Diceros bicornis minor: one gene and its partners. The main gene of each other region encodes a partner of the protein of the gene in region 3 in a complex. Links are inferred from orthologs where the notes say so. Each region holds a gene or a part of one and is shown on either strand. Other genes may lie near its edges. The genes, in order: SNW1, PPIL2, SNRPF and ARMC7.

The links.
Region 1: SNRPF (region 3) and SNW1 share a complex: the UniProt entries of both Homo sapiens proteins name them as parts of the minor spliceosome. The link is inferred for Diceros bicornis minor from reciprocal best matches to the Homo sapiens genes SNRPF and SNW1.
Region 2: SNRPF (region 3) and PPIL2 share a complex: the UniProt entries of both Homo sapiens proteins name them as parts of the minor spliceosome. The link is inferred for Diceros bicornis minor from reciprocal best matches to the Homo sapiens genes SNRPF and PPIL2.
Region 4: SNRPF (region 3) and ARMC7 share a complex: the UniProt entries of both Homo sapiens proteins name them as parts of the minor spliceosome. The link is inferred for Diceros bicornis minor from reciprocal best matches to the Homo sapiens genes SNRPF and ARMC7.

The regions. Positions count from the first base shown.
Region 1 is NC_080763.1:25,536,562-25,543,505, forward strand, and holds the start of SNW1 (SNW domain-containing protein 1), read right to left. Parts: upstream 3,020-6,944; 5' UTR 2,963-3,019; coding exon 2,949-2,962; intron 2,899-2,948; coding exon of another isoform or gene 2,650-2,898; exon of another isoform or gene 2,356-2,649; intron 1-2,355. Other genes in the region: ADCK1 (aarF domain-containing protein kinase 1), read left to right, coding at 2,650-2,898, 6,186-6,267. UniProt on the Homo sapiens protein: Involved in pre-mRNA splicing as component of the spliceosome. As a component of the minor spliceosome, involved in the splicing of U12-type introns in pre-mRNAs.
Region 2 is NC_080774.1:30,150,991-30,158,278, reverse strand, and holds the start of PPIL2 (RING-type E3 ubiquitin-protein ligase PPIL2), read right to left. Parts: upstream 3,013-7,288; 5' UTR 2,861-3,012; intron 746-2,860; 5' UTR 618-745; coding exon 534-617; intron 1-533. UniProt on the Homo sapiens protein: Has a ubiquitin-protein ligase activity acting as an E3 ubiquitin protein ligase or as an ubiquitin-ubiquitin ligase promoting elongation of ubiquitin chains on substrates.
Region 3 is NC_080764.1:26,526,250-26,533,395, reverse strand, and holds the start of SNRPF (small nuclear ribonucleoprotein F), read left to right. Parts: upstream 1-4,130; 5' UTR 4,131-4,208; coding exon 4,209-4,211; intron 4,212-6,193; coding exon 6,194-6,319; intron 6,320-7,146. UniProt on the Homo sapiens protein: Plays a role in pre-mRNA splicing as a core component of the spliceosomal U1, U2, U4 and U5 small nuclear ribonucleoproteins (snRNPs), the building blocks of the spliceosome.
Region 4 is NC_080757.1:55,646,412-55,654,348, forward strand, and holds the start of ARMC7 (armadillo repeat-containing protein 7), read left to right. Parts: upstream 1-4,928; 5' UTR 4,929-5,299; coding exon 5,300-5,390; intron 5,391-5,481; coding exon 5,482-5,625; coding exon of another isoform or gene 5,626-5,657; exon of another isoform or gene 5,658-5,671; intron 5,672-7,937. Other genes in the region: SLC16A5 (monocarboxylate transporter 6), read left to right, coding at 1-662, 1,389-1,639. UniProt on the Homo sapiens protein: As a component of the minor spliceosome, involved in the splicing of U12-type introns in pre-mRNAs.

The DNA of each region.
Region 1 (6,944 bases), on a different chromosome or scaffold from region 3:
GCTTGCTTCTTAGCATTCATGTCTCTGCTCAATTATACCTCCCTAGAGCAGATTTCTGTCCACCTTGTCCAAAACAGCACTCCATCCCACGCTTTCAGTCACTCTCTATCCCTTCATCTTTAACTCCTACTATTCACTACCTAGGATTGCATTATTGATTTGTTTACTCATATATAGTCTGTCTCTCCTAGAACGTAAGCTCTGTGAGGATAAGGAGTTTGCCTGGCTGATTCAATACTGTAAAACCATCAATAGAAGAGTGCCAGGCACACAGTAGACCTTCAACAAATATTTACTAACAGAATGAAGGAATGGATGGATGAACGGAGTCAAAAGTTTTGGGCTTTTACCGTAGTTGTTTTCAGTAAACCATATATACCCAATACACAGGACAGAGACAAAGACAGTTACAAAGAAGCTAAAATATTTACTTCTATTTCATTTTTCTTTTCTTTTCTTTACCCTCTGTTGGAAGAACTGGTCACTAAAATGATGAAAAGGCAAGCAGCCTGCCAAAGCAAACAGTTTGGACAATCCAGTAAACAGGTAACCTGGCCTGGATTGAGGTCAGAATATACTTAAGTTTTCCAGAGGGTCTTAACTTTGTTGTTCCCTGTAAAGGATGACATTCCCACAAAGAGGCACACTCCTGGGGAAGGGGGGTACATAGGGGGCTGCGAATGTAAGGAGAAAGTCTACCCGAGTGGTTCTCAACTGGGGGCAAAATATCTACAATGCAGCTATTTGACAATATCTGGAGACATTCTGATGGTCAGGACTTGGGGGTAAGGGGCGGGACGAGGGTGATGATGCCAGTGGTATCTAGTGGGTAGAGGCCAAAGATGCTGCCAAACATCTCACCACGCACAGGACAGCCCCATGCAAGAATGAACTATCCACTCCAAAACGTCAATAGTGCCACTGTTAAGACATTTTGGTCTACCCTTTCCCCTTTACTAAAGAAAGTATATTAAATGCAAGCGATATTATTAGATACATAACCTTAAAAACACTTGAATTTAGAAAATTAAATCAATATGACTTTATTTAAATTGAGGTAACACTCGTATATAACATTATATAAATTTCAGGTATATATCATTATATTTCAATTTCTGTGTAGATTACATCATGTCCATCACCTAAAGACTAATTACCATCTCAGTATGACTTTATTTTTTTTTTTGAGGAAGATTGGCCCTGAGCTAACATCTGTTGCCAATCTTCCTCTTTTTCTTTTTTCTCCTCAAAGTCCCCGTACATAGTTGTATATCCTAGTTGTAGGTCCTTCTAGTTCTTCTACGTGGGAAGCTGCCTCAGCATGGCTTGATGAGCAGTGAGTAGGTCCCACGCCCAGGATCTGAACTGGTGAACCCAGGGCTGCCTAAGCAGAATGTGCGAACTTAACCACTACGTCACTGGGCTGGCCCCTCAGTATGACCTTAAATCTTTAGTTAGTAACAATCACGGGTGACACCAAGACTGCAACACATCAGTATGTCAAGTCCCTGCTGTTAAGAATCCCTGGTAAATCTTGGAGATAACAACACTTCACCTGGAAACTTGAGACCATCTCTAAAAACCAGATCAGTCAGAACTAACTCAACAAAATCAGAAAGCTATGTAGTCCCCTAGACTAGCCATTTAAAGATTGCACTCTGCCACTGTAATTTTAAGCACACAGTACCCACAACATCTCTGGTATTTTTCCTGTGTGTCTTTCTCAAATTCCACCTTTTCCACAAAACCTTTCCTCATAACCCTACTAATCTTTGTCACTGTGCCTCCCACCTGGAGAGCACTCAAACGTTTGCTGCCTGTAACATTTACTAATGGAAACTCTCCAGTTCATTCAGCTCACTTCATCTATTTCTTTTTGCACGTAAGTTAGTACTACACAAATAAGCATTTTGTGTTGTTCTTTGTTTCATATCTGTATGCCTTGTTACCACATCTTCCCTGCAGCCAAAGACTGTCAGATTTCCTTTTGCATACACACAAGCCCTGGGATAGCGCAAGGCACTCAAAAGTAATTCCCAAAAGAATTTTCTGATTAAAACATTTTTAGGATTCACAACTGTCGTCAACCAGGAAACGTACATGTGAGGAGAATGAGATGTGTTTAGGGAGCTCAAGCGGATGTCCTAAAATGATTCCTTTCTTTATAACCCTCTTTGACACACAACTTTTCCTGCTGCGTTCCCATGGAAAGTTTTTCTACTTAGATGGGGCAGCTAGGTCGCGGACTAGTGCAAGTTACGTAACTTCTTGGAATCTCCCAGTTAGGCAACTTTTTCTCAAAGGCAGGGACCACTTTACATGCAGTTACCGAGGCAACCGGGAACAGCAAAAATCTGAAGTGTTTCTACCTACGGAAGAAATTCTAAGGTTCAAAGTTGAAGTGCGGAGCAGCGGCGCGAATTAGTGGACAGCGGCCACTACTGTGGCTACTTGAAAATCTCTGTTCAGTGCCAGGCCCCCTTTTTTTTCAGGAAATCTTGTTTCGGGACAGAGACGGGAGAGAGACTTCGGCAGACAAACGGCCGGAAGACCGCTTCACTCCGCCCAGACAAACAAGCCACTGCCCTCCATACCCCATCGCGCCCACCCGAGCCGCGGACCCGAGGGAGCGCTCTCCACACCCCCAAGATGCTTAAGCCAAAAACACGTGGGACTCCTCGGCACCTGAGGCCACAGAACTCTTCGCCACGCCGCGGCTTTCGGCCCCATCGAGGGGGCGAACTCAACCCGGGAAGCCGCTCAGGAAAGACCCCAGCTTCGGCGAGGCCTAGTCGCCCCGGCGGCCGGCGGGAGGGCCTAGCCGTGATCTCGGCCAACGCTGCTCTGTGCCCCAGGCCGGGTCACCGCCCGGAGAGTGTGGGCAGAGAAAAGAAAAAGGTGGGTACTCCCAGACCCTTCCGTATCGAGGACCCGAATCAACAACCCACCTGGTGAGCGCCATCTTCTTCCGCTTCTTCCAGCGCGAGCGACAGCACCGCGGGGCGGGTCTTTCCCGGCGACAAGGAGGGGAAAGGAAGGCGCGCGCAACGCGCAGGCGCCGTAGACGAGGGCCTTCTGGGATTTGTAGTTCTTTGAACAAGAGACCTATTCGGTTCTCATCTAACGAGACCGAGCGGTTATAAAGGCATAAGCGCTTCGGTTAAGAAAAGCAAATGCATCGCTCGTACACTGTGACATGAGAGGGCGTTCCCTAGGCAAAATAAAGAAGTTGAGATGCTTTTTAAGCCGCTTTATTTTATTTCCCACTCAGTCTCGTTCTCCTTGTAGGAGTCTCAAATACAAGAGCCTTCCCGGGACGGCAACGTTATATAAAAGGGTGACAGGGTTTTAAAACAATAGGAAATCGTGAGACTGGCGAATGGAGAATTAATTCTTGGACGCTCTGAAAACATTCACACTCAAAACTTTTCTTTAAACGCTATCCCCTACCCCCTTACCTATCCCCCAAAACACTCTCCTGGGGAGGTATTGTGTGACCCTTAGTAAGTAGCCTTTAGTAGAACACTCCTCATGTGTATTATGTATGTATGTTTTTATGTGTATGTGTTTTAGATTGATTATGTGTTTTACATAGATTATGGATTAAACATAATCTTTGATGAAGTGATAGGATAAATGAAATCTGCTTCAAAATATTGGAGAGAGGGAAGTGGGAGGAGTACAGATGAAATGAAAATAGCCATGAGTTTTGATCATTGTTGAAACTGGATAATGGAGAAATGGATGTTCATTATACTATTCTCTCTACTTTTGTATATGTTTGAAATTTTCCCTGATAAAGAGTAGAAACAAACTTTTAATTGCAGTATAGCACACATATAGAAAGGTGCATACATTCTAAGTGTACAGCTCTTTGAATATTCCCAAGCCAAACACTTGTTTGAGCAGCAGAAGCACCCCCGACCCAGGATCATTTGATTTCTGGTGTGACAAGATGTTCTAGGCTCATCTAGTACTTTTTCTGCCTCAGACCTGGAATCAACCATTTCTCCAAGGAGCCCTCTTTTAAGTGGGAAAGTGATATTTAGAGAAAACAATCTGGATGCTACGAATGTTCATTGTAACTGAGTTGATTATTGTTTGCCTTTTCAGTGGATAGAGCTAAAAAATTCACATAAACATATTTTTTGAGAAAATGCATCATTCATTCATACTAATATATTCAATACAAATTTAGGATTACACAGATTTTACTTAAGTTTGATTTTATATGCATTTCTCTTCTGAAAATCTGGTCTAATGGTATTAACATAATTACTCATTTGCTTTATTCTACTATATATAAAATAGTATTCAGAATAACATTACTAATATGGTTACTAAACATATGCTTAGTGGTAATAGTTTCTGATTTTTTTTTTCAATTCTTTTTGTCATTAGGGTATCTCTCTCTAGGCATATATAGTCAAATTACATCGCTTTATAATTTTATTTATTTATTTATTTTTTCCCCCAAAGCCCCAGTAGATAGTTGTATGTCATAGCTGCATATCCTTCTAGTTGCTGTATGTGGGACGCGGCCTCAGCATGGCCGGAGAAGCGGTGCCTCAGTGCGCGCCCGGGATCCGAACCTGGGCCGCCAGCAGCGGAGCGCGCGCACTTAACCGCTAAGCCATGGGGCTGGCCCAAATTACATTGCTTTAAAGTGACTTAGAATAATTCCTCTGTGTGTGATTGTGCGGCTAACTTGATACCCAGTTAGTTTATTTATTTCATTTTGTTTTGGATTTTTAGTGGTTGCTTTTTTAAAAAAAATAGTTTTGTGAAACAGTTACGTGGTTTCAAAGCCAAAATTTACCAAACAGGTAGTGCATTTAGAGAAGTCTACATTCTTACCTTGTCTCTTCCATCCTTTTCCTTCCTTTCCCTGTAGATAACCTTTAAAAAAATATTTTTTATGGTTTATCCTTACATTTAAAAGTATACACAAATACATATATATTTGTATACTTCTCTTTCTTTTTTAGATAAATGGTAGATACCATACACACTTTTCTCCACCTTGCTTTTTTCTACTTATTAAAATACCTTGGAGATCACTCCTTTGCAGTATATAGAGATTATGTTGGAGATTTTGAGCAGAGAAGACACAAGATCTGACTTATATTTTAAGAAGGTCATTATGCGTGCTTTGTTAAAAATGGACTCCAAGAAGCAAGGGAGGAAATGGGGAGACCAGTTGGGTGGCTTTTGCAATAATTTAGGGGAGAGATGCTGATAGCTTAGGCAGGGAGTTAGTGGTAGAGATGGTAAGAAGAGATTGGAATCTGGATCTGTTTTGAAGGTATAACCAACAAATTTTGATGATGGTGTTGATGTGAAGTATGGAGGAGAGTAATCAAGGATGACTCCAAGGTTTTTCCCTGAGCAGTTAGAAGGATAGAGTTGCCATTTACTGAGATGGGAACACTGCAAGAGTGTCATGTTTGTGGGGAAACATCAGGAATTTGGTTTTGAACATGTTACATTTGAAATACTTATTAGATGGCCAAATAAATATGTCAAGTAGGCAGTTTATATGTAAGTTTGAAGTGTGGGGGGAAGTTCTGGGCTGGAGACCTTTGGAGGCAGATGGTATTTAAATTCATGGTACCAGATGAGATTACCCAGGAAAAGCGAGTGTAGGTACAGAAGAGAAGTGGTCCAAGGACAGGCTTCTAGAATGAACTCCAGTGTATAGAGGTTGGGGAGATGAGGAGGAACCGGGAAAGGAGACTGAGAAGGAATGGCCAGAGGTTTGATCAATGCAACCAGGAGAGAAAGCATCAGTCTCTCTTTTGGATCAGAAGCTGTACGTTTGTAGGCTTGAGTTACCAGTATCTATCTTTCCTGGCATTATAGCAAGAGCCTGTAACAGGGAAGAATAAAGCCACCATGCAAAAAGAAAGAGAAACCAGAAGGGTGAAGAGAAGGAGAGTAAGAGATTGACAGATGTTGAGATCTCTGACAATATTATGGGAGTTCCTGGGTCCAGCAGTGCCCGAAGACCACACCACCTTGAATCTTTTTTAATTAAGTGAGCCAATAAATGATTTTGTTGGCTTAAGCTAGTTTGAGTTGATTCTCTATCATTTGCAATGGAAAGGAATTTATACAGTGTTTATTTTCTGTGCTCCCATAAGACTTGTTCTTCCCGCATTCTTAACATTTATCACACTTTGTAGATTTTGATGGTTTACATGACTGCAAGGAAGATTGAATCTCTCTCACCATTGTATCCCTATCACCTTTGCCTGCACGATTTTGGTAAGTCCTCAACCCTCACTGGATTTCAGATTCCTTGTCTATAAAAGGACAGAATGGGCCCGGATAATATAAAAGATCCTTTCAAGTATCAAGATCCTTTGATTCTTGGTACTTTTGTCTACTTTTTCAACTTCTAGAGGTTTAAAAATTTGCTATTCCATGAACTATTGATAAACACAACAACTTAGACAAATCTCAAAGGCATCAAGCTGAGTGAAAGAAGCCAGTCTCAAAAGATTACATATTATGTGATTTCATTTATGACATTCTTGAAAAGATAAATCTATAGCGACAGAGAACAGATCAGTGTTGCCAGGGATTGGGGTGGAGGAAGTAATTGACCACCGTAAGGAAATTTTTTGGGGTGATGGAATTGTTCTGCATCCTGATTGTGATGATGATTACATGCATCTATACATGTGTTAAAATTTATAGAACTGTACACCAAAAAAGTCAGTTTTACTGTATGACAATTCAAAAAAATAAAATTTAGGGGCTGGCCCGAAGGTATAGTGGTTAAGTTTGCGCACTCTGCTTCAGCAGCTCGGGGTTTGCAAGTTTGGATACCGGGCATGGACCTACATGCCGCTCATCAAGCCATGCTGTGGCAGTGTCCCGTATACAAAGTAGAGGAAGACTGGCACAGATGTTAGCCCCGGGACCATCTTCCTCAAGCA
Region 2 (7,288 bases), on a different chromosome or scaffold from region 3:
AAGGGACGGGATGGGAGCTGGGAGCTGACCGAAGAGGTCCTAACCCAGCCTGGGGGCTGGGGCGCTGCCTGCAGTGAGAGTGTAGAATAAGCAGGAGTCAGGAGGGGCAGGTGGTTCGGAAGGGCATTAGGGAGGCACTTAGAGGTGGCATGGAGAATGACATCCACAGGGAGAGGTGGGTGTGGGGCTAAGGGTGTGGGACTGGAGACATGGGGGGCATGGTTCTCTACCTGTATGTTGGGAGCCCCAGGATTCTGCCCGGTACGCTTGGGGCTACCTTGCTCGGCTGAGGCCAAGCAGGTGGAGCTGTGCCTTCAACCCCACCCCAATTCTCCAACCAGAGCAGCCCCCTCCTATCTGCTTTATCTGGTGCAGTTCCACTCAAGACTCAACCCTGCAGAGCGTTCTCCTGCTTAAAACAAAGTTCTGAGAGCCACTGTTGTGGGTGTGGGAGAGCTGCTGGGGTGGTTCTGAGCAGAGGGCAGAGGCGGTCCCTCCCAGGGCCGCACAGAGTGGGGGATGTGCCCACTGACCAACCTGCAGGGCAGCGGATTGTAAGGACCAAAAACCCTGGGCATAGTGCAGACAGAAGGCGATGGAGCCACCTCGGAGGCCATGGTGGTGGCAGGTGGTGGCAGTGGCAGAGGTGGCACCAGGGTTGGTGGCAGACACAGGGAGGTTGACCGGTGCCTCAAGAGAATGGGTTCTGGTTTTTTCAACTTCCGCTTCCTCCTCTTCTTGGCATCTGTGACAAAAGGTGCCAATGAGTGCCTACTCCATGGCCAGAATAGGATAGAGTGCGGGCCAAACACAGTGGTGTGGGGTCTTCACACAGTCCCTCCAACAAGGAAGAGAGGTAGGCCCCCGCCAAAGGGCACCACATAACAATGCTTGGAGCCGCTGTCGATGGGCGCCAACAAGCATCACCTCACCGAGCCCACAACTATCCCACGGGGAAAGGGTACTTTTGTTTCTATCTTACAAGCGGGACCGGAAGCTCTAACTGTACAAGACACACACAGGATCCATGCCTGGGCTGTCTGACTTCAAGGCCAGAATTTCATAGGAAGTGACAGAGTGTCACAGCCATCGAGGGCTGGGCTTGGCCCAGGCAGGTTGGTCTGCTACCCAACCCCCCAAGCATCACGGAAAGCTCCTGAGTCTGCCAGCACCCTCATGGAGCATCCAGGCCCTAGACAGAGAGCGCACTGACTACACCCAGCCCCAGGGCCATCCTGGGGGTGTGCAAAGGGCCCTTCCTCTATTAGGAAACCCACATGAACTAGGTCTTGCAGAGGTGGGCTCAGGGAGGGAATCTTTGAGGGGCAGAACTCTTGAGTGAGCCCCCTCTCTTCCCTCCGTGTTAGGTCTCCCTCCTGGATTTGACGAGTCTGGCTATTTCTACTGTTCAAAGTTGGAGACTACCAGCAAAGTGGGTGTTAACAAGCTCCTCATACAGCCCATCAGAGTGGCTCACCTAGAGTGACAATCACCACCACCAGGGAGCACTGGCCTAAGAGACTGCGCCTTGGAGCACCCAGACCTGAGTTCAAGTCCAGACTCTCCTACTTACTATGTGACCTTGCACGTTGGCCAACCTCCCTGGGCCTCTATTTCCTCTTCTACAAAACAAGGATAAATAACACTAATGCTACCTCGGGTAAGAGCTACGTGTGCTGTAGGACCAGCCGTCAGATGAAATGGTGACGTGGAGCACTCACACCCAGCATCACAGAAAGGGGGACCCCCAAGTAAGCTGGGCCTCCCAATGGGATGGAGAAGAAAGTAGCCCCAGGACTGCTGTGGTCTATCACTGAACCTGAATCAGATCAAGGCTTCAGAGCCACTGTCTGAGAAATACAGGCAGAGGGGAGCAAAGCAAACACCACCAGTGGACTATGACAGCAGATCTAAACCCATGAAGTGGGATACCCCGAAGGACAACACAGATCTTTGAGTCAGTGGCATGAGAGGGAAAGTAAGGGTATCTCACTTCAAAGGGACTTCCACAGACCTGGCCACAGATCCTTGTTTGCCATCCCTGTGTGGTCACTAACATGGCCCCCTTGCATTTCACTCTTACAAGTGCCCCGATGTGGACACAAATTATATGGTCACCCTAGTGAGAAAGAACCTAAGAGGCCTAACATGAACACAGCATGTGGGCCTTGTTGGGTCCTGACACGACAGACCAAGTGTAGAAAGATTTTTGTGGACCATCCAGGAGTTCTGACTATGGACTAAGTAAGTATCAGCTAATATTAGGGAATTGTTGTCAATTATATCAGCAGTAATATCGTGATTTATGTCAGAAACTGTCTTTTTTTTATTAAGAAGCATTCTAAAGTATTCAGGAGGGCCGGCCCTGTGGCTTAGCAATTAAGTGCGTGCCCTCCGCTGCTGGCGGCCCAGGTTGGGATCCCGGGGGCGGACCAACGCACCGCTTCTCCAGCCACGCTGAGGCGGCGTCCCACATAGAGCAACTAGAAGGATGTGCAGCTATGACATACAACTATCTACTGGGGCTTTGGGGGAAAAATAAATACATAAATAAAATTATAAATAAATAAAGTATTCAGGAATACAATGATGTCTGAGATTTCCCTTAAAATGCTCCAGAAAAAGAAAAAGGGGATCTAGAGAATGAAACAAGCACGGTGAGATGGGGACAGCCGCTGATGCTGGGTGAAGGGTACTCGCGTGTTTACTGCAGTCTCTAGTTTTGTGTATGTTCATTTTCATAATAGACTTTTAAAATAAACACCAAATTTAGAAAAAAGTGCCAACCACAGGACCAGGGACAAGGGGCCCTGAGTCAGGTTTGCTGGGTTGCTGGAGCCAGACACAGGGTGGGCCTCACCCTGGGAGTAGAGGTGCGCGCGGTAGATGCTCCTCCTCAGCTGCTCCAGGCGCCGATGTATCTCCCCGGCGCCCACGCAGTTGCAGTAGTTCAGCTCCCCCTGGACAGCACAGAACTTCCCTGCGACAGCAGCGGGAGGACGCCAGACGGGTGAGACGCCTGCCCGCTGCACTCCCCAAGCTGGGCCGCCTCAGGCTTCTGGGAGACCCTACCCTGCAGCTCCAGGAAGGCCCGACGGCCCCCCCCACCCCCAATCTCCGCCCTACAGGGCAGGAGCGGGAGTGATGACAGCACCCGCCCCCTGGTCCCCCCTCCCCGCAGCCCGCCCGCCGGCCCGCACCCAGAGGAAGGAGAGGAGCCCGCGCCGCTCGCACTCGGCCTGCTTGCCCTTGCGCACCACTCGCTCGGCCAGCTTCGGGTTGCGGTCGATGCTGCGGAAGAGGCGGCGCAGCGCGCGCTTGGTGTAGGTCGTCGCCTGTCTCTCGAAGTCCTCCTCGGAGATGCGCTGGCAGAAGGTCACGCTCGGGGGCATCTCGCTGTCGAACTCGTCCAGGACCTCCATCTGAGAGGGCCCGTCCGGGCGGGGACCGCGGAGACGTACCAGCTCTCCATCCAACCGCCGCCGGCCCCCTCTGCGATCAACCGCTCCAGCCAATCCCCCCTAGATCGCGGGCGGGGCCCTTCCCTGCCAGACGGCCGCACGTGACAATGCCCCCTCTCTGGGCATGCGCTGTCGCGCCTTCGACGGGGCGAACGCAGCTGCGCTCGGCGGAGGCCCTATCGCGCTAGGATCCGGCAGAGCTTTGATCAGGGCCGGCCAACGGCCACGCCAAGAACACGGTCCGCACCCCAACTCTTCCAACTTCTTTAAGGCCCTCACCCCTCGGCCAGCCTCCAGTCCCTTCCGCTTCTGGCTGCTTCCCCTCTTCACCGTGTGTAGACAGCACCCCAAGCACTTCACTCTGCCCCTAACTCCTCTATCCCTGGACTCTACCCTCTTCCTCTCCTGACTCACTTCCCAGCATCAACCCCCCGGCCCCCTCCAGCTTCTACCCTCTCTCCTCCCCTTCATAACCACTTCTTTGCTCCATACTCGCTGTGGCCTCTTCACTGGCGTCTCCAGCGGCTCCTTATGCGTTTCAAAAGGTCCTGTCTTCACCCTACCATCTTGATCAATCTTCCCTACTTCTTGGTCCCAACCCAGAGCTGACTTAACTAACCCTAACCTGAGTCTCAGGCTCAGACCTCACTTGAGCTCCAGACCCACATCTGAGTGTCCTAAAGGGACGTTTCTGGGGCGTTCATGCTGAACACATCCAGATTGGCACACCCCAAAACCTTCCCTCCAACCCCAAAACCTGCTTCTCTTCACCCTCTCCTACTTGGTCAGCACTGACACCACCACCCACTCTGCCACTAATGAAGGAGGTGCACCCTGGACTGCTCGCTCCTGTCCCCTCCACCCCCCCATCAGCCCTGAGATACATGGAGTGTTCCTGAGAAGTCTAAGGAGATTTTTCACTTCCCTCCGCCAAACCACCAGCCGGCTAGCCTCAGCTCTCCCCAACAGAGGAGGTGGCACTCACTTTTTCCTGCTTTGAGGTCAGAGAGCACGGTGGGGACAACCAAGGAGAAAGAAGGCCTGGCCTTTGTGTTTGTCTAGGGGTGCAGGTAGACTTAGATACACCTGGGTTCAAATCTCCATTCCGCTTCCTGACCCTGTGGGACTTACAAAATGAGACTTGACTTTAACGTATTTAGTATGTACCTTTTTATAAGCAGGACAAGCATCCTCTGAGGGGTCAAGCAGACTCTTGATTAAACTCTCCCCTATCGTGGTATGCTAATAATACTTCACACTTTGTATGTTTATTTGTATTTTTAGAAAGTGTTTTGGTGGGGCTGGCCCAGTGGTGTAGCTGTTAAGTTCGCGTGCTCCGCTTCGGCAGCCCAGGGTTCGAAGGTTCGGAGCCCAGGTGCAGACGCATCACATATCAAGCCATGCTATGGCGGCATCCCATATAAAGTAGAGGAAGGTGGGCACGGATGTTAGCTCAGGGTCAATCTTCCTCAGCAAAAAAAAAAAAGTGTTTTGGGCCCCTCCTCTGTGTCAGATACTGCCAAGAGAAAGAAAAAATGACATAGTCCCTGCACTCAGAAGCTCCCAGTCTAATGACGTCTTCAGCCACAGGGAGAATATTTCAATCTAACAGGCTTTGCTGGAGGAACATTGAATGATGTGGAGCCCAGGAAAGGCTTCCCCTAGGAGGGAACATTTGAGCAGGGCCCTGAGTTAACACGCCTCTGCCAGCAAGGGCAGGAGACAGCTGCAAGGGGATGTCCAGCCAGTGGGTACAGAATCTGCACAGGAGTAAGGGTGGCCACCTCCAGCCATGGCACCTGGAGCCCAGGGGAAAGGAGGACAGGCCTGAGTCAAGTGGCCTTGGGATGGAGGAACCCCAAGGGGTCAAGCCCAGGACAGAAAGGAGCATGTGTCATTATCCCTCTTCCTCCCCTTGGATGCCAAGACTTCCACCACCCAGGTAGAGGTGAAGCTGGTGTCTTGATGTGCTCAGCCAGGGGTGAGGGGTAATCCCAAATGCCCATCTGGAGACCTGGGCCTCCTCTTAAGGAGACAGGCTTGAATGACTGTCACTGGGCGCATAAAAACTTTTCGCATTGTGTCAGGTCTCGATGGTGGAGGTGGCCCTGCAAGCATGCCTGGGGCCAGGCTCCTTGGCAGTTCAGCTCCAATCTTCCCAACTCCAGCTGTGAGGGTGGGCAGGTCAGGTACCTCACAGGTTCTCCTGCAGGCTCAGGGCAGCAGATCTCCCTGTAAGAGAACAAGCTGGCGTGGTTGGTGGGCATCGCCTGCAGGCTTCGTATCCCAAGTCGACCCCCCACCCCAGATAGTACTGCTCCTGCTGAGAACCCAGGAGAACATTCCCTCCAGAGCCTGGTCTTCCCCAAGCCTTGAAGGCGGGCTGGGTCCAGTTCACCTCCACATGGTCAAGGTTGAGCTGGGTCTGAGTCAGGCCCTGGCAGACCCTCCATGCAAAGCAGTGGGCCTCTATTTTGCAACAAGGCCCTGACCAAATCTGGAGCCCCCAGTCTTAGCTGGGGAGCTGCTGTGGAAAGATCCTCTTCAAACCAGAGCTTTTCTAAATCTGCGGTCTCTGTCCCTGCACCTGTCCAACCATGACCCAGATGGAGCGCTTGTGGGGTGATCCCTCAGCTCTGCACTCACCTGATCCTCTGATGGAGGGTCTACCCCAGCTCCGCCCCTGCGCCTAACTGCTGGAAGTGGAGTGAGGCTGCAAAACTCCCTCCTCCTGAGTGCTGTGGTGGGGCTGGGCCTGACTGATGCCCTTTCATCATTGCACTGCTTCCCAGCAGCCCACAGTAGTGCAACAGGGAAAGAGTGTCAGGCAGGCCTGCCAGTGCTTCTCCTCCGGAGGTGGGTGGGGGATCTGAGACCTGGAACGCAGGCCCAGTAGGGCGGGGCCTCTGATTGGGGGAAGGGTGCCCTCTGACCCCGGAGGCCCAGGCCTGGCTAGGATCTCAAGTTTCCATGGAGAAGGGAGTGAGCTGGGCAGGGGGGAGGGGAGGGCCTGCAAGCCCAAGAGACCAGGCCTGGGGAGGGGTAGGGGGAGTATGGGGGAGGGAGGTCCCCAAGGCTGGTCCCAGATGCTTTGACAATATCATTGCACTGCTTCTCAGAGCACAGTAGTGCAACATCGTCAGAGCACCTGCAGCCAGCAGGGGGGACCTCCACAGCCCCCAATACATGCAGGGCGGGAAGCTCAACCATGGGTGGGTGGGGCTCAGGGCCCTGTCCTGGACATCAAGGTAGGGAGGGGGATTTCAGCAGGGCTGCCGTCCTCGGGGTCCTCAGGACCCCAGGGCACCTGAACTTTCCCCGAGCAGCTCCAGATTGCGGTGGTGAGACCCCAGACTGAGGAGTAGCTCCAACTCCAGAGTGGGAGCTGATTGGGGGAGGGGGCATACACACAAAGGAGAGAGGCCCGCTCCACCGCAGGCCGAAGCCCACTCGCGCCCGGAGCAGGGGTGGGTACAGCCCAACGACCCTGCGCCCTCAGCCGGCTCGCAGCTCCGGGACAAGAAGGGTGGCCCCATTGCGGGACGACGCGCCTCTGCCGGCTCAGGGCCCCATCACCTTCATCCTGACACCCAAGTTGGCCTCTGAGTTCTGTCCTGACAGATTCTCTGCCCGACTGCCCAAATTGGAGCAGTGGAACGGAAAGACTTCCCCCCTTTCCAGAGTCCCCTGCCCGGAGAGGGCCCACGGATCCGGGCTGCACCCCTCCACACAGTCCCGCCGAGTAGAGCCGCTTTTCTCGCGCCCCCGCCTCGGACCCTGCTACTCACGCAGTGCGACACCCCTTTCGCCCAGGGCTGGGGCAGGAC
Region 3 (7,146 bases):
AATATTTCGATAAAGCCTGTCCAGAGATATCCTGCATGGCCAAGCAACTGGCTGTTTCTATGAAGGAGCAGTGGCCAGTTCAATAATGTAAAACCTAGTATTTGCTTCTCATTCCTCCCCGTCTTACCTTTTTGCTTCACTTTTACTGCCCTGGAATTGTGCCTGCCAATAAAGTACTGACATTTAAATTTTTCCTCCGGGTCCATTTTATAGGGAACATGGGCTTGACACCATGGGAGGAATTTCTTTCCGATCACAGTAATAGAAACAACTGTGCTTTTCCTGAATAATTACAAAAATATATTATGGAAACTGGATCATGTAACCAATCATTACTCTTTGCTAGGACTCTATAGAGTTTAGAGATAAATGCGCAGCCCCTCAGTAGCCAGTGCATAAGGCAATATGATGTAGATGTCTGTATTCTAATGTTATATCTGGTTCTATTACTTTCCCTTCATCCTTCACTACTTCATTATTTCCTTTTGTTGTTTTTTATAGGCCACTTCAATCACTTGTAGAATAAAGCAGAAGATAAAGAATGTAGCTTAATATGAGAAAAGCATTCAACTGAAAGAGGCTATTCTGGGTCTATCTCTAACTCAGGTATGACCATACTTTCATCATCTACAAAATTAGAGGTTTAGACGAGGTATCTCTAGCGTTCTGTCCTAAGTTTAAAATTCAGTGATTCATCAATGCCGACTCAAGAACTGGAGCACACTTAGCTCCTAACCACAACACCAGGTTTCCTATGAGGTCTGATTCTCTCTCTACAATGGTAGAAAGAGTATGCGCTTTGAATCACCAAAAAGACTCGGATTCTAATCTAGGTTTAGAGGCTGTATGATTGAGGAAATTAATATATTTGGGTCTTAATTTCTTCACTAGACAAAATACCACGTCTCTCAGGTTTGAGATAATGTAAAGCTCCTACCAGACAGAGGCACTCAAATCTTGCCTCACTCCCACCCCTTTAAATCTACTCTGGCCATAACTGATTCTGACCATAATCATAGAAAAATAAAATGTTGAGATTACGGGAATAAAGAAAATGAAAGGATGGGGCGGGCCCGGTGGCGCAAGTGGTTAAGTGCGCGCACTCCACTGCGGTGGTCTGGGGTTCGCCGGTTCAGGGTTCACTGGTTCGGATCCCGGCGCGCACCGACGCACCACTTGTTAAGCCATGCTGTGGCGGCGTCCCATATAAAGCGGAGGAAGACGGGCATGGATGTTAGCCCACGGTGGTCTTCCTCAGCAAAAAGAGGAGGATTGGCAGATGTTAGCTCAGGGCCGATCTTCATCACAAAAAAAAAAAAAAAGAAAAGAAAAGGAAGAGTTCATCAATTTCAAAAGTAACTTTCTAAACTTTATCCCCCTTCATCTTGCATTTATATTTGTACTTCTATATATTTGTTTATTTGTACTCTACTCAAACACATTTTGAGGAGAGGCAGTGTAAAGGAAAAAATCTCAGGCTTTGGAGACATTTCACCTTCTACACAGCCTTCAGCAAAAATATATAACCCCTCTGAATCTGTCTCCTCATCTCGAAAATGGGGCTAATAATGCCTACCTGGAAGTGCTGTAGGATTTAAATAAGGTAAATTACATGAAATATCCTGGCATAACATGGCAGGCACTAAATATGTATTGGTTCCCTTCTTCTCAAAAAGGTTTTCAAGTTCCATGAGGGCAGAGATCACATCCATTTTATGCACCTCAGTAAATATTTCTTGGTCATTTAATCAACTACTTTTTAGATGTTTGTTTATCACTGGAAGTTTTGGGTTATATGCTGCGCAGCAGTAGAAGGCCTTACCGAAGTGTTCACCCTAATTAATAATTAGGGACCATTTCCCCAGAATGTGCTCAAAATGTAATCTATCTCATCTTCAGAAAATATAAACCCTGTTACTTCCTCCATATTAGAACCAATTATTCTGACGGGTATTCTGTTGAGCCATAGGGTAACATGGCAATATATATTTTTAAAAGCCTTTAAAATAATAATGCCTTTAACCCAGGAATTATATTTCTAAGGATTTATTGTAAAGAATCAAAGATACACTCAAAGGCTCGTGTAAAAGTATGTTCAAAGCACATTGTCTATAATGGGGGAAATGAAAACAGTAGAATGATTAATAAATTATCACATATGCATAATATAGAATAAAAAATGCATAAGACATTAAACTCCATTTTAGAAGAATAATTATATGAGAATTTGCTCAATATAAAGTGAAGAAAAGCTTAAAAACTACATGTAAAATCTTGTAAAAAAAAAAGTGCATGTGTTACAATAAATAGTACACCAAAAAAGTTGACAGTTGTTTTCTTTGATTGGTGATACTAGTGATTTTTGTTTTAGAACTTTCTATATTTTCCAAATTCTCACAAAACGTATGTATGGCATTTATAATTAGAAAAATACCAATCACCTTATGCCCACTTTATTTTCGATAAGGTAAGATTAATATTTAACATGAAGACAAAAAACGACTTTAAACACAACTATCATTACGTAGATTATGGTAATATTTTGTTTCACTTCATTGAGAAAAGAGCTAAAAAAAAAAGTCAGACTTCTAAAATATCTATTGATCTTTCAAAAGGCAGCTTTATGAAGCAGAAAAAGCCAAGAGTTTTCAGGTTGAAACCTAGCTGTGTGGCCCTGAGCAAGTTACTTGCTGACCTGTTTCCTCATCTCTAAAATGGGACCATAACCACCAAATCACAGACTGAGTAGTAAGATTTCCATTATAATAATTGTGAAGGACCCTGGCACATAGTAGGAACTCCAAGTCTGTACAAAGGCTAAATATTCACTAAACGATCCTGAACCAAGGGAAAAACCTACTGAACTTTGGGGTAAATAATCCCAACTGCTTGGCATAAACTACTCTAAAAGAAAATTACTGTGGTTGTCACTGTTCTCCTACATTTACATGGACAATATTAAAATAACAGTTAATATCTACTGAGCCCTTACAGGCCAAGCACAGTCCCAATCTCTTTCACATTAATTATTTAAACCTTACAACCCTGTGGACAGTACTAGAGTTTTTAAAGCCACGTACAACTGAGGAAACAAAAGCCTTAGGGGGTTAAGAAACTGCCCAACACCATCTCCATGAGATGGACGGACGTTCTGAACTCAGGCTGCCTCCCAAGTCTTACCCACTACTCCATATGTCTCGACACGCAACATTTAAATCTCAGTTCCAAATTCATCTCCTTAGGGCCGCAAAAGCAAAAACAAAAAACTTACTACTCTGAGCGCGCTTCTCCGAGAACTGCATTTAGCATTTCAGATCAGAGTGAGCTCAAAGTCTGTACCGGGGGGGAAAAAGAAGTGCGATTCTGACAAACAGCGTTACATCAAAAGGGTCGATTGGTGAAAGAGCAAACATCCCCACGTCCTTAATTACATATGCACATAAAACGCCTGTACCGGGTCTCCGCTGGCGATGCAAAAGGAACAGAGCGACAGGGAAACCACCACACCATATTCTAGACTCAATTTGCCCTCATTCTGTACTTGACTTTCTTCGGTGCGTTTCACCTCTCTTAGTCTGGTCTGGCTTCTCTCACTTCCTTTAAAGTGGTTGAAATGAGCATTACAGAAGAGAGAACAGTCAGGTAGACGGGGACCGTGGCAGAGGAGCCCCCAAATTATACAACCCGTGGGAAAGTGAGGAAGAAACTCGAGAGCCCCAAGTGTGTAAAAGGGGCTCTTAAAGGTGTAAAGGGACAAAGGAAACCCCCCACTGGCTTAGGGCGCGCAATTACGTCCTCTCTATAGGGTACAGAGCATCTCTCGGAAGAATCCTCGAGGCAGGTGACCAGAGGAGAAGCCCGGGCCGACCTCACTGCCTCTGCAGCCTCGCAGACACGCTCCCGGCTGAGTTCAGCCGCCTTTGGTTTCCCACAGGCCAGCGCGCCCCCGGGAAGGCCCAAAAGCGCGCCTTACTACTCGTTGCCAAGAGACACTGCCCAGCCACCTCCTCCAATCAGCACGCATCTCTTTGCGTCCAATCACAGAAGGTAGAAGAGCTGAAGTCGGAGGTGAAAGGTCACACTGCTGTTCGGCGGCCATTTCTTTTGAAGCTCCCTGGTTCGGCTATTGCCGTAGTTGCTGCAGTCACAAGGGACGGACGACAGCTGGGTCGGCGGCGAGTGGCCTGCAGCATTTGCCGGTAGTCGTGATGGTAAGGAGGAAGAGAACGCACGGAGTCGCCGGAGAGAGAGAGAGGGCGGGCGACTAGCCTCGCCGGGCCTGGTGGCTGGTTCGCGCGTTTCCCATTCATCCGCGTGAGGCGCCGCGAACCCGGTCGCCAGCCCTTTTCTCCCTGCTCCGGGGGTCTGAGGCGCGCGCTCCTGCCAATGCCTTCCCCTCCCCGGGAGTGCCCCTGTCCCCTTCCGTCTTTTCTTCGTCTGCAGCTGAGCCTGAGATATCTTTACTGCCTGGGGCCACAGGGTCGGGGTAAAGATGAAGCGGTGTTTCACGTCCCGCTTATCACACTCCAAAATCGGTGTTCTTTCCAGGATGTTGGGGCTTCCAGCCCCGCAGCCCTCAGGAACCCAGAACCCAGGCTTTGGAGCGTTCATTTGTTCGTTTAGCAAATAGTTATTGAGCGCATGCAACCTGCCAGATACTGTTCTAGGCGCTGGGAATATAAGGTGAAAAGTGCTGAAGCGGGCCCTTCTCTAGGTTAACTCAGTCGCGTGTGAAAGACAGACGTTAATCACATAATAACAGAAATATGTAATTGCAAATAGTGTTAAGTACTAAGAAGGAAGCAACAAACAGGATGCTGTGAGGGGGCGCGATGGTATATTAGAAGAGTGGTCAGGGATGGCATCCCTGGGAGGAGGGATTTAACCTGAAACCTAAATGATATGAAATAGCCGCTAAAAGAGCAGGAGGGAAGGTGTACCAAGCACGGGAAACGGGAACATAGGCCCTAAGGCCGGAAAGAAAGCTTGACCAGTTGGAGAAATTGACAGAAAGCCACAGCCGCTTGCAAGAATGGTGGTTATGAGATAGGGTCGGATAAGATCTCTTCAGCCTTATTAGGAGGGCTGGATTCTACTCCAAATGTAATTGGAAGCCATGGAAGTATTTTAAGCAGAGACATATGAGTGATACAAATAATACTTGCCGGGTGGATAATAAGTTGGAGAAAGAAGAGAGTGAAAACTGGAGACCCATTAGGAGGTTATTGCAGTAGTCTACGTGTCTTTTGAGATCACTGTGAATATGCTTATGGTAGACGGGTTTAGTAACCAGGTTTCTGGTGCTTTTCTTTCTTTGGGCTGATGGGTGAGCAGAAGAGTGAGGGAAGGAAAAAGGTGAATTCACTGGGGACACTATTGGTTTGCTGAATAAACATTAAGTGATTGCCCATATGTAGGAGGCACTAAGTCAAGTTAAGACCCAGTCCTAGTTCCTAGAATTCAAGTGAAATTTTGTCAAGTGTAATCTGCCCCCTGCTTCCTTCTGTAGCCTCATATTTGGGACTCTGACAATACTGAATTGTTTGTATATCCCTGAGATCACCTTGTTGCTTCACTCTTACCTCCTTTTGCATAGGCAGCCTCTTCTGCCTAGAGCAGCCCTTTTTCCCTCTGGGAAATACCTCTCATCCTTTTAAAATAGAGGCATTACTTATTTCAGGCAACCTTTCCTTTTCTCTTAATCCTAGATTGGTTTGGTACCTTTGTAAATAGCACATCACCTCTTACTACATTGCAGTACATATAATTGTCTATTTGTATGTGTTTTGCCCCTCCCTCTCCCACTGTGAGCTTCTTGAAGACAGGCAGTGTCATCTGCATTTCTTTCTTTCTTTTTTTTTTTTTTTTACTGCCTTTATCTTTGTTTCTTTATAGCCTGGAACATTGAGTGATGCATAGTAGGCATTCAGTGTTTCTTAAGTGAATAATGAATACTTTTATACTTTTATAAGTTTTGATGTGTTGAAGGTGAAATTGTCTTACTGGGTATTTAAATTTCTCTGATGCTCTTCAACAAATAAAAGTGAAAATTATGTAGTAAAGTGAGAGGGTGTCAAGAGTTTGCTTCATTTTGATACCTTCAAATATTGGTGATTTGGTAGAGGAGGGTAGGTAGAGGAAGCCGATCTAAGGAAAAATAATCAATTGAGTCTTTTTTTTGTTCTTTGTGCAGAGTTTGCCCCTCAATCCCAAACCTTTCCTCAATGGATTAACAGGAAAGCCAGTAATGGTGAAACTTAAGTGGGGAATGGAGTACAAAGGCTACCTGGTATCTGTAGATGGCTATATGAACATGCAGGTAAGCTAAAGAGTTATAAGATCATTAAATGGTATTTATTTTGCTTCATCTTACACCTCAAAGGTTTAGTGTGACTTAGAGGAATACAATCAATTAAATTGACAAACATAAAGCCAAATTTAGGAATAAAGTCAAGGCCAAGGAAGATGTTATAACTGTGATATACTATGTATGAAACATGGTGTTAAACCAAAATTCAGCCGCAGATTTGGCTCCTAGTGGTTAAAATAAGAAGAGCTCAGGCAATTGATTCACAGTGCCATAAGGAAAACACACTAGTTTGTGGAAAAAGTAAAACATTTCCCAGGACTTAGCTCTGAAAGAAATTTTTCAAGTGAAATTCTTTTTTTTTTTTTTTTTTTAAAGATTTTATTTATTTTATTTTTTCCCCCCAAAGCCCCAGTGGATAGTTGTATGTCGTAGCTGCACATCCTTCTAGTTGCTGTATGTAGGACTCGGCCTCAGGATGAACGGAGAAGTGGTGCCTCGATGCGCACCCGGGATCCGAACCCCGGGCCCACCAGCATCGCAGCGCGCGCACTTAACCACCAAGCCACAGGGCCGGCCCAAAGTGAAGTTCTTAAGTCTTTTAATAAATGCTTATGGCACAACATCAGAGTAATTCCATAAAAGCATTTCTTGAGGAAGAAGACAGATCAGCCAAAGGATAAACTAGCTTCTGTAATTATTTCAGCCAGGTTTTTTTCTTTTTATTGTGGTAAAATATATATAACATAAAATTTACCACTTTAGCCATTTTCAAGTGTACATCTGTCATTAAGTACATTCATATTGTTGTGCATCCATCACTATTATCCATTTCCAGG
Region 4 (7,937 bases), on a different chromosome or scaffold from region 3:
GGAGCTGGGCTGGAGGGGCACCTTCCTTGTCTTCGGTGGGGTCTTTCTCCACTGCTGTGTCTCCGGGGCAATCATGAGGCCTGTGGCCACCAGCATGGCCCCTGAGACCAGAAAAGGCCTCCCTCCACCTTCCAAGACACCTGCGCCCGGCTGCCCGGCAGCGTGTAGCCGGGCCATACAGCGCCACCTGGCCTTCGACATCTTGCGGCACAACACAGGCTACCGTGTGTACACGCTAGGTGTCGTGTGGATGATCGTGGGTTTCCCGCTGCCGCATATCTTCCTGGTGCCATACGCCATACGGCATGGGGTGGACGAGCACCGGGCAGCCCTGCTCATCTCCATCATCGGCTTTAGCAACATCTTTCTACGGCCCATGGCTGGGCTGATGGCAGGCCGGCGGGACTTTGCTGGCCACCGCAAGTACCTGTTCAGCCTGGCAGCCCTGCTCAACGGGCTCACCAACCTGGTGTGCACAGTGTCGGCTGACTTCCGGGTGCTGGTGGGCTACTGCCTGGTGTACAGCGTGTCCATGAGTGGCATTGGTGCCCTCCTCTTCCAGGTCCTCATGGACATTGTCCCCATGGATCAGTTCTCCAGGGCCCTGGGCCTCTTCACTGTCCTGGAGAGCATCTCCATCCTCATCGCCCCACCACTGGCTGGTGAGGCCCTGGGAGGGAGGGCAGTTGGGTGTGCGTGGGTGTGGCCTGGGTGGGCAGGCTATGGGGGTGGGACAAAGGGAAACGGTCTGGATAGATTTGGGCCCCATCCAGCATCCCAGAGGTAGACTTGGAATTTCTGATTTTCCCAAGCACCCCAGGGGACTGGCTACTGCCTGTCCCCCAACTGGTGCTCAGGGTATGAACAGTTACAAATAAGGGTCTTTGGTACCAGACTTACCTGAGTCCTTCCTCCTCCTCTTTGTACCTATGTTTTCGTATCAGCAAAGTGGGGATGGTCATAGAATCTACCTGGTAGGCTTGCTGTGAGGACTGCAAGTTACACAGTAAAGAGCTTGGAGAGCCTGGCACACTGTGAGTGCTATGCAGGAGGAGGTTGGGGTGGGCCCAGTGCATGACTGAGCAGATACCCCAGACTCCACTGGCCCTTGTGTCCTTGGTTTCCTGCCACCAAGGGTGAGGGAGACATGCCCTTCAGTGTTCTTCCAGCCCGAGAACTCTTCCAGCCTGGGCCAGAGCAGGGTTAGTGTTTCCTCTCCTTTCATTCAACAAATTATCTATTGAGAGCCTACTAGGTCCCAGCCACAATTCCTAGTACTAGGGATACAGCAGAGACAAAAATAAAATCCCTGCTCTAGCAGAGCACAGTGTAGTGGTGAGGGGGCTAGTAGCCCCAGGCAGTGGCCTAACTTGCTGTCTGTCCCCCAGGGTTCTTCCTGGACATCTCTGACAACAACTTCAGCTATGTTTTCTACATGTCAAGCTTCTTCCTCATCTCAGGCGCCCTCTTCATGGGTGGTAGCTTCTGTGCCCTGCGGAAGAAAGAGAGGCAGGGCAGGCAGGCCGAGGGGGAAGGAGCCATCACGGAGGCTGCGCTGGAGCAGACCCTCACCGTGGAAGGCACAGATGGTTCCAAGAAGCAGGTGTACACTGAAATCATGTATGTGACCAGCCTCTGAGCCCTGGGATCACATGTGTGACCAGCATCTGAGCCCTGAGGTCAGTGAGTGACCACTGCCTCAGCCCAGGAATGGGATGTCCAGCTGCCTTGCCAGGAGCTGGGGTGAGAGCTGCCCCCAGGAAGCCTGAACCAAAGGCGATCCAGGCTTTGCACGTTGGGACTCAGCCAGGAGCTGGAACCTTGGAGGCTGGCCTCCGAAGACTCAGGGTTCCTTGCAACTAGCAGAATCCAGGAGCGGGTCCTCCTGAGTTTTATCCTTGGTACCAGAGTACCTGGGGCCCAGGAAGTTGGGGCTGAGCCCTGCTCCCGTCTGTCATGGCCAGGTCAGCTCAGCTGGCTGCCCACTACTGCTGCTACAGCTCAACACACTGGACCTCCTAGTCCAGCCCGGATGCCTCTGATGTGATCTCTTTGTCCTTCTCCGGCCTCCAGACAGTTCCAAAGAACTCACCCGTCCTCTGAGGCCCTTCTGTCCCCCTCTTCCCAAGCGACCCGGCCCTTGCCCTTAGAACTGCCTCCAGAACAGGTTGCTGTGCCCCACGTTGACTGGAACCTTGGGAAGAAGGGCCTTGTGAAAGAAGGAGTTGTGGCCTGCAGCGGTGGAGGGCCAGGCTAGGGTTTGGACAGATTAAATCTTTGGGTAGAGTGCCTGTCCTGGTGTCTGTGCAAAGAACTGGAGGAGAGCATTGGGTCCTAGAATCAGTGAAGTCTGAGAGGTCCCCCTGCACACTCAGCAAGGTCTGCTTCAGGGTCTCCCTCCCTCTGCCCCACCCTCTATCTTGGCTGGGAAGATTAGTGCCAGGGTTGGGGGAAGCTAGACATTTGACTGACCAGGGGAGGGGCAGGATTGCTGGGCAGGGCCCAAGGACCTCTGTGAAAATGGAGCTGCTTTTTGCAACAAAAGCCCTTCCACTCCCCTCTCCTGCCCTTCTCTTCTCCCTCCTATGTCAGAGGTGTCATCCCTGGGGTAAGTAGCTGGCTGGGACAGCTGTCAGTCCACCCCTGCTCCCTGTTGGCCTATGCATGTGGCCTGGAGGTCAGAACCACCCCCCCCACCCCACCCCCCCACCCCCGCCAACACACACACACTGTTTTTCCTGGTGCCCTTCCCTGAGCTCATCACCTGGGGGCTGGCTGTCATCAGCCCAGGCTTGTCCCAGCAGGGTACCAACAGAGGGAATAGAAAAACAGAGTTTGTTTGAATTACACACAAAAATGTTTTCTGCAGCAGGTTATATAAACCCTGTGAACTAATGAAGCTGGAAAACAGGCCTGGAGTAAGTTTCCCCCTCCCCCTTCAGTTCTCCCAGCTCAGCAAGGGCTGCACTCACCCAGAACCTTATTTGTTGATTCAAGCTCAGCCAGGCTCCAACAAGAAAACCTTATCAGGAGAATTGATTTTATTTTCATGACCCGGCTCCAACTGGGATGAGTAAGCATCCTTGGGGATGTCCTGTCTTCTCCAGGACCCTGTCATGAGTGCCCCCTTATGGCGAAAGATGGTAGTGCAGAGGTGAAGCAAAGGGCTCTGGGGTGGGATAGACCTCAGTTCATGTTTGGCTCTGCCACAATTTGCTCTAGGACTTTGGGCAAATTGTTCACCATCTCTGGGCTTTCAGAAAGGAGGAGGTTGGCCTGGATAAGCACAAGTCTCTTCCAGTTTGAAAAGTCTGACCCCCATTGCCTTCCTGCTCCCCACCCAGTCCTGCGCTTGGCCACCAGCCACAGCTTGTGCACTGGAGGGGGAATGCTGGGACACATTTTACCAGGTCTTGTCTCACCTATCTTAATTGAGTGGAAGAGGAAGGAGTTGGGGCTGGTGGGTAGGTGAATGCTTCCAGTGCTAGCAGCCATCTGGCTTTGAAATGTGCATCCTCTAATAGGCCCCTATCCTTAAAAAAAATTTCTTTTAAGGAAAAAAGATATCAGTGAACATTCAGCATAGGGGACTTTGAGCTCATCTGCCCTCGGGCAAGAGTGGCAATAATCTCTGGGCAGAATTCCTTCAACAAATATTTATTGGGCATCTACTGTGTGCTAGGGACTGGGCAGAGAGGAGTAAGACCTGGTTGCTGCCCTCAGCACAAAACCAGGGACTGAGAATTATTCCCCAAGGAGGGCCTCTGAGGCCTTGGCAAGGAACAAATAAGGGAGGATAGGGTGACCCATCTGATGCCAGAACCCACACTTAGCTGATTTCCCGGAAATCCCCTAGAGAGGGTCTGGAGCAGTTCCTGAGCAGCACAGGGTGGAGCTCACTGCCATCCTGTCCCCAAGCCCTGAGCTCCTGGTCCCCAGGCCTTCGCTGCTCTGTCCAGCCAAAGGCAGAGAAGCCCCCTGATACCTTGGGCTAAGATGTACTTCCCTAGGTCACATCAGTTCCCCAAAGAAGCTGAAGGGCCTGGCGAGGGGCCTGGGGCCACCACCCCCATGGAGCAGCCACAGTACCCAAGCACCCAGACTATGGTCATAACTCCTGCCCCAGGGGGCATGCATAGAGCAGGGGCTGACCACAGGGACCTAAGCCCACAGAGGTGGGGCCTGTGGAGGCTGGAGTGTGGCAGCCACTCTGCCCTCATGCCAGGCCCAGGAACAAAGGTACATGGGCCTTGCCCTCAAGAAGCTCACAGCCCAAGCCCCTTTAACCCCTACATTTTCAAGCATGGTTGGAGTGCAGCAGGGCCACCTCTCTCCCTGGTGCTCTATTCCCTGTGCCTACAGGGTCTCGGTCACACACCATCTTCCTGAGAGGCCCGAGAAAGAATTAGGCTGAAGGGCTTCAGCATTCAAGGCTGCACAACCCAGAAAGCCGCTAAAGCGGTGCATTTGGGTGAACTGAGGTTCCTACGGCCCGTTGGTGCTGCCCCAGCGCTCCCCGTCCACCTGGCTGACAAACCCAGTTCCGGAGACTTCTGGCCAGAGGTGGCGGACTCAGCTCGGGGCTGCGGAGCAGACGGTTTTTGCAAAAGCCGAGCAAGAGGTAGTGTCAAAGGACCCATCTTGGGGGCGCAGGGAGCCGAGCCCGCGTCCCTTGGTCGAGGAGGCTGAGCTGCGTCTTCTCCTCAGGTGCAAGGGGGTCTGGAGATGCTTCTGCCTCGACAGCCCCCCACATGTACACCCTCCGCCGCCTCTGAGCTCCCAAGGACCCTAGAGGTGCTCATCAATGCATACATAACTCTCCAACGCCCTTCGCCGCGACCCCGGCAGTAAGGCGAGAAGCGGAACGCGCACGCGCGCCGAGCTCAGCACAGGCCCCGCCCTTCGCCCGCTTCAGCCCGCCCCTTCCGCCCTCTGGAGCGGAGGTAAGCGTGCCTTCCACCGGAAGCCCGGAATCGAGCTGAAAATCAAGCCCAGCGGAGGAGTGCTGCGTACCGCGACTACCTCTTCCAGCGCACAGCGCAGTCCTTGTCTTTCACGCCGCAATTTAGATTTTTCACGCCCAACTCTTACAAGATCCTGAGGCCCCACCCCATCCTCCTCATCCCAATTCCACCTGCAAATTACTGCATAACCTGAACCCAGAAAAGGAAGATATTTCGCGCCCCGGTCCGCCCTTACCCTTATCGGTAGAGGCCCGGACAGGTTCTCTCCCGGCTTTTCCGGCCTCACCTCCCACACTCTCCTGCCTGTGCGCTGGAGGTCCTCCGCCTCCCCGACCATGGCCCAGAAGCCGAAGGTAGACCCCCACGTTGGGCGCCTGGGGTACCTGCAGGCGCTGGTCACGGAATTCCAGGAGACGGAGAGCCCAGGTGAGAGCGGCAGGATGGGGTCGGGACGGGGCGGGGGTCTGGCCGCGGCCGCCGCCCGGGACCTGGCTCCAGTTCTGCTTTTCCGCTGCAGACGCCAAGGAACAAGTCCTGGCCAACCTCGCCAATTTCGCCTATGATCCCAGCAATTACCAGTATCTGCGGCAGCTGCAGGTCCTTGATTTATTCCTCGATTCGCTGTCGGAGGAGAATGAGACCCTGGTGGAGTTTGCTATTGGTAAGGATGGGGCTGGGCCCCCAGATGCCTGATGGGCTGTGGTGAGGTAAGTGAGTGAGAAGTGAGTCGTTGGGAAAGGAATCTCTTAGGCAGTCCCTCAGCTGCCAAGGCAGACCTTCGCGATGTCTGTGCCGCCTCCGCGGTTCACGCATCGTCCAGGTCACAGCTAGCTTGAGTCAGGTCTGGAACTCACGCCCAGGACTCCCTCTGCCTGTCTGCCTTCCCTCCTGCTTAGAGATGAAGTCATAAAGGAGGGAATGGATTGAAGCCAGTTGGAGGGAAAAAAGTTTAAAAAGTGATCCTTCAAACATCTTTATTTTAATGTTTTACTATCAAGAACAGCAGAGGTAACTTGGAATGTGTAGCTTATGGTTCGTGTAGTTCTTATGGTCTAAGACCTGTTGAATTATTCACTGGACAGATATTTATTGGGCATGTACTGTATGAGCAAGGTACTGTTCTAAATGCTGGTGAGATGGTGAACAAGTTGGGCAAAGGTCTTTGCTCTCAAGGAGCTTCCATTCTAGTAGGGGAGACAGATGGTGAGCAAACAAAAAAAAAAAGCTGAGGCTCTGAAGGAAATAAACAGGGTGATGAGACAGAGCAGTCGGAGCTGGGGACTACTTCTGTTTGGGCCATCATGGGAAGGCATTTAGGGAAAACCCTACAGCAGGAGGAGCCAGAAGGCTGGAGTGGCAGGATTGTGGTGAGTGAAGCGGGGAGTGGTAGAAAATGAGGTTCGAGAGGTCATTGGCACCAGAGCTTACAGGGGCTTAGAGGTAGGCCATGGGAAAGAGTTTGAAATTTATTCTGAGGGCAAACAAAAATTCTTTTTTCAGCATGCATGTTTTAAAAATAACATTTCTCTACATAGTGAAAGGAATCTTATTCATGTAGGGAAAGAAACCTACCTTTAATAATTCCATTATTACCTAATACACAGTTATGTGAATTTCTCTAATAGTTCCCAAAAGGACATTTTGTTTGTTTGTGTAAGCCGGGATCCAATCTGGGATCCATGCATTTCATCTGGTTATATTCCTTAGATCTTTATCTCTCGCTCTTTTTAAATAAACTTTTATTTTAGAACAGTTTTAGGAAAATTGCAAAGATAATACAGAGAGTTCCTCTATGTGCCATACCCAGTTTCCCCTCTTATTAACATCTTAGTGTGGCACATTTGTTACAATTAATAAACCAATATTGATAAATTATTATTAACTCTACATTATTATTAACTCAAGTCCATACTTTATTCAGATTTCCTTAGTTTTTCCCTAATGTCCTTTTACTGTTCCAGGATCCCATTCATACTACATTACATTTAGTTGTCACGTCTCCTTAGGCTCCTCTGGGCTGTGTCGGTTTCTTAGACTTTTCCTTTTTTTTGATGACCTTGACAGTTTTGAGGAGTACTCGTCAGGAATTTTGTAGATTATCCCTCAATTGGGATTTGTCTGATGTTTTTCTCATGATCAGGCTGCATTATGGGTTTGGGGAGGGTGACCCAGGTAAAATGCCAGCCTCGTCGCATCATATCAAGAGTACATGCTGTCAATATGACTTATCACTGTTGATGATGACCTTGATCCCCTGGCTGAGGTAGTATTTGTCAGGTTTCTCCGCTGTAAATTACTCTCCCCACCCTTTCCATATTGTGTTCTTTGGAAGGAAGTCACTACGTAAATTATCTTATATCTCTTTTAATCATTAATAGACTTTTTTTATTTTTTATTTTTTATTTTTATTTTTATTTTTTTTATAATTTTATTTATTTTTTTTCCCCCCAAAGCCCCAGTAGACAGTTGCGTGTCATAGTTGCACATCCTTCCAGTTACCGTATGTGGGACACGGTCTCAGCATGGCCGGAGAAGGGGTGCGTCGGTGCGTGCCAGGGATCGAACCCAGGCCGCCAGCAGCGGAGCGCGCACACTTAACTGCTAAGCCACGGGGCCAGGCCAGACTCTTTTTTTAATATCACTAATTGTGGAAGGATCCAGGTTAGTTCTTCAGTTCTGCAAAATGTCCCACCTTCTGAATTGTCTGGTTGCCTCTCTTGGGCTTTATTTGGTTTGTTCCTCTATCCCCTTCCCGTTTATTTCCTGTAACCTAGAAATTAGATTGAAGGCCTTGGTAGAATCAAGCAACACTTTTTTTTTTTTTTTTTTTGCTGAATACATCATAGGTAAGTGTAATTTAAGTTTTTGAAAGACCATCCAGGTCTGCCCCTGTGTTTGTGATATCTGGGGCTAGAGTACAAATGGGCGTTGGCCTACCTTCTCTTCTCACACACGTGTGTGGACATCCCAGCT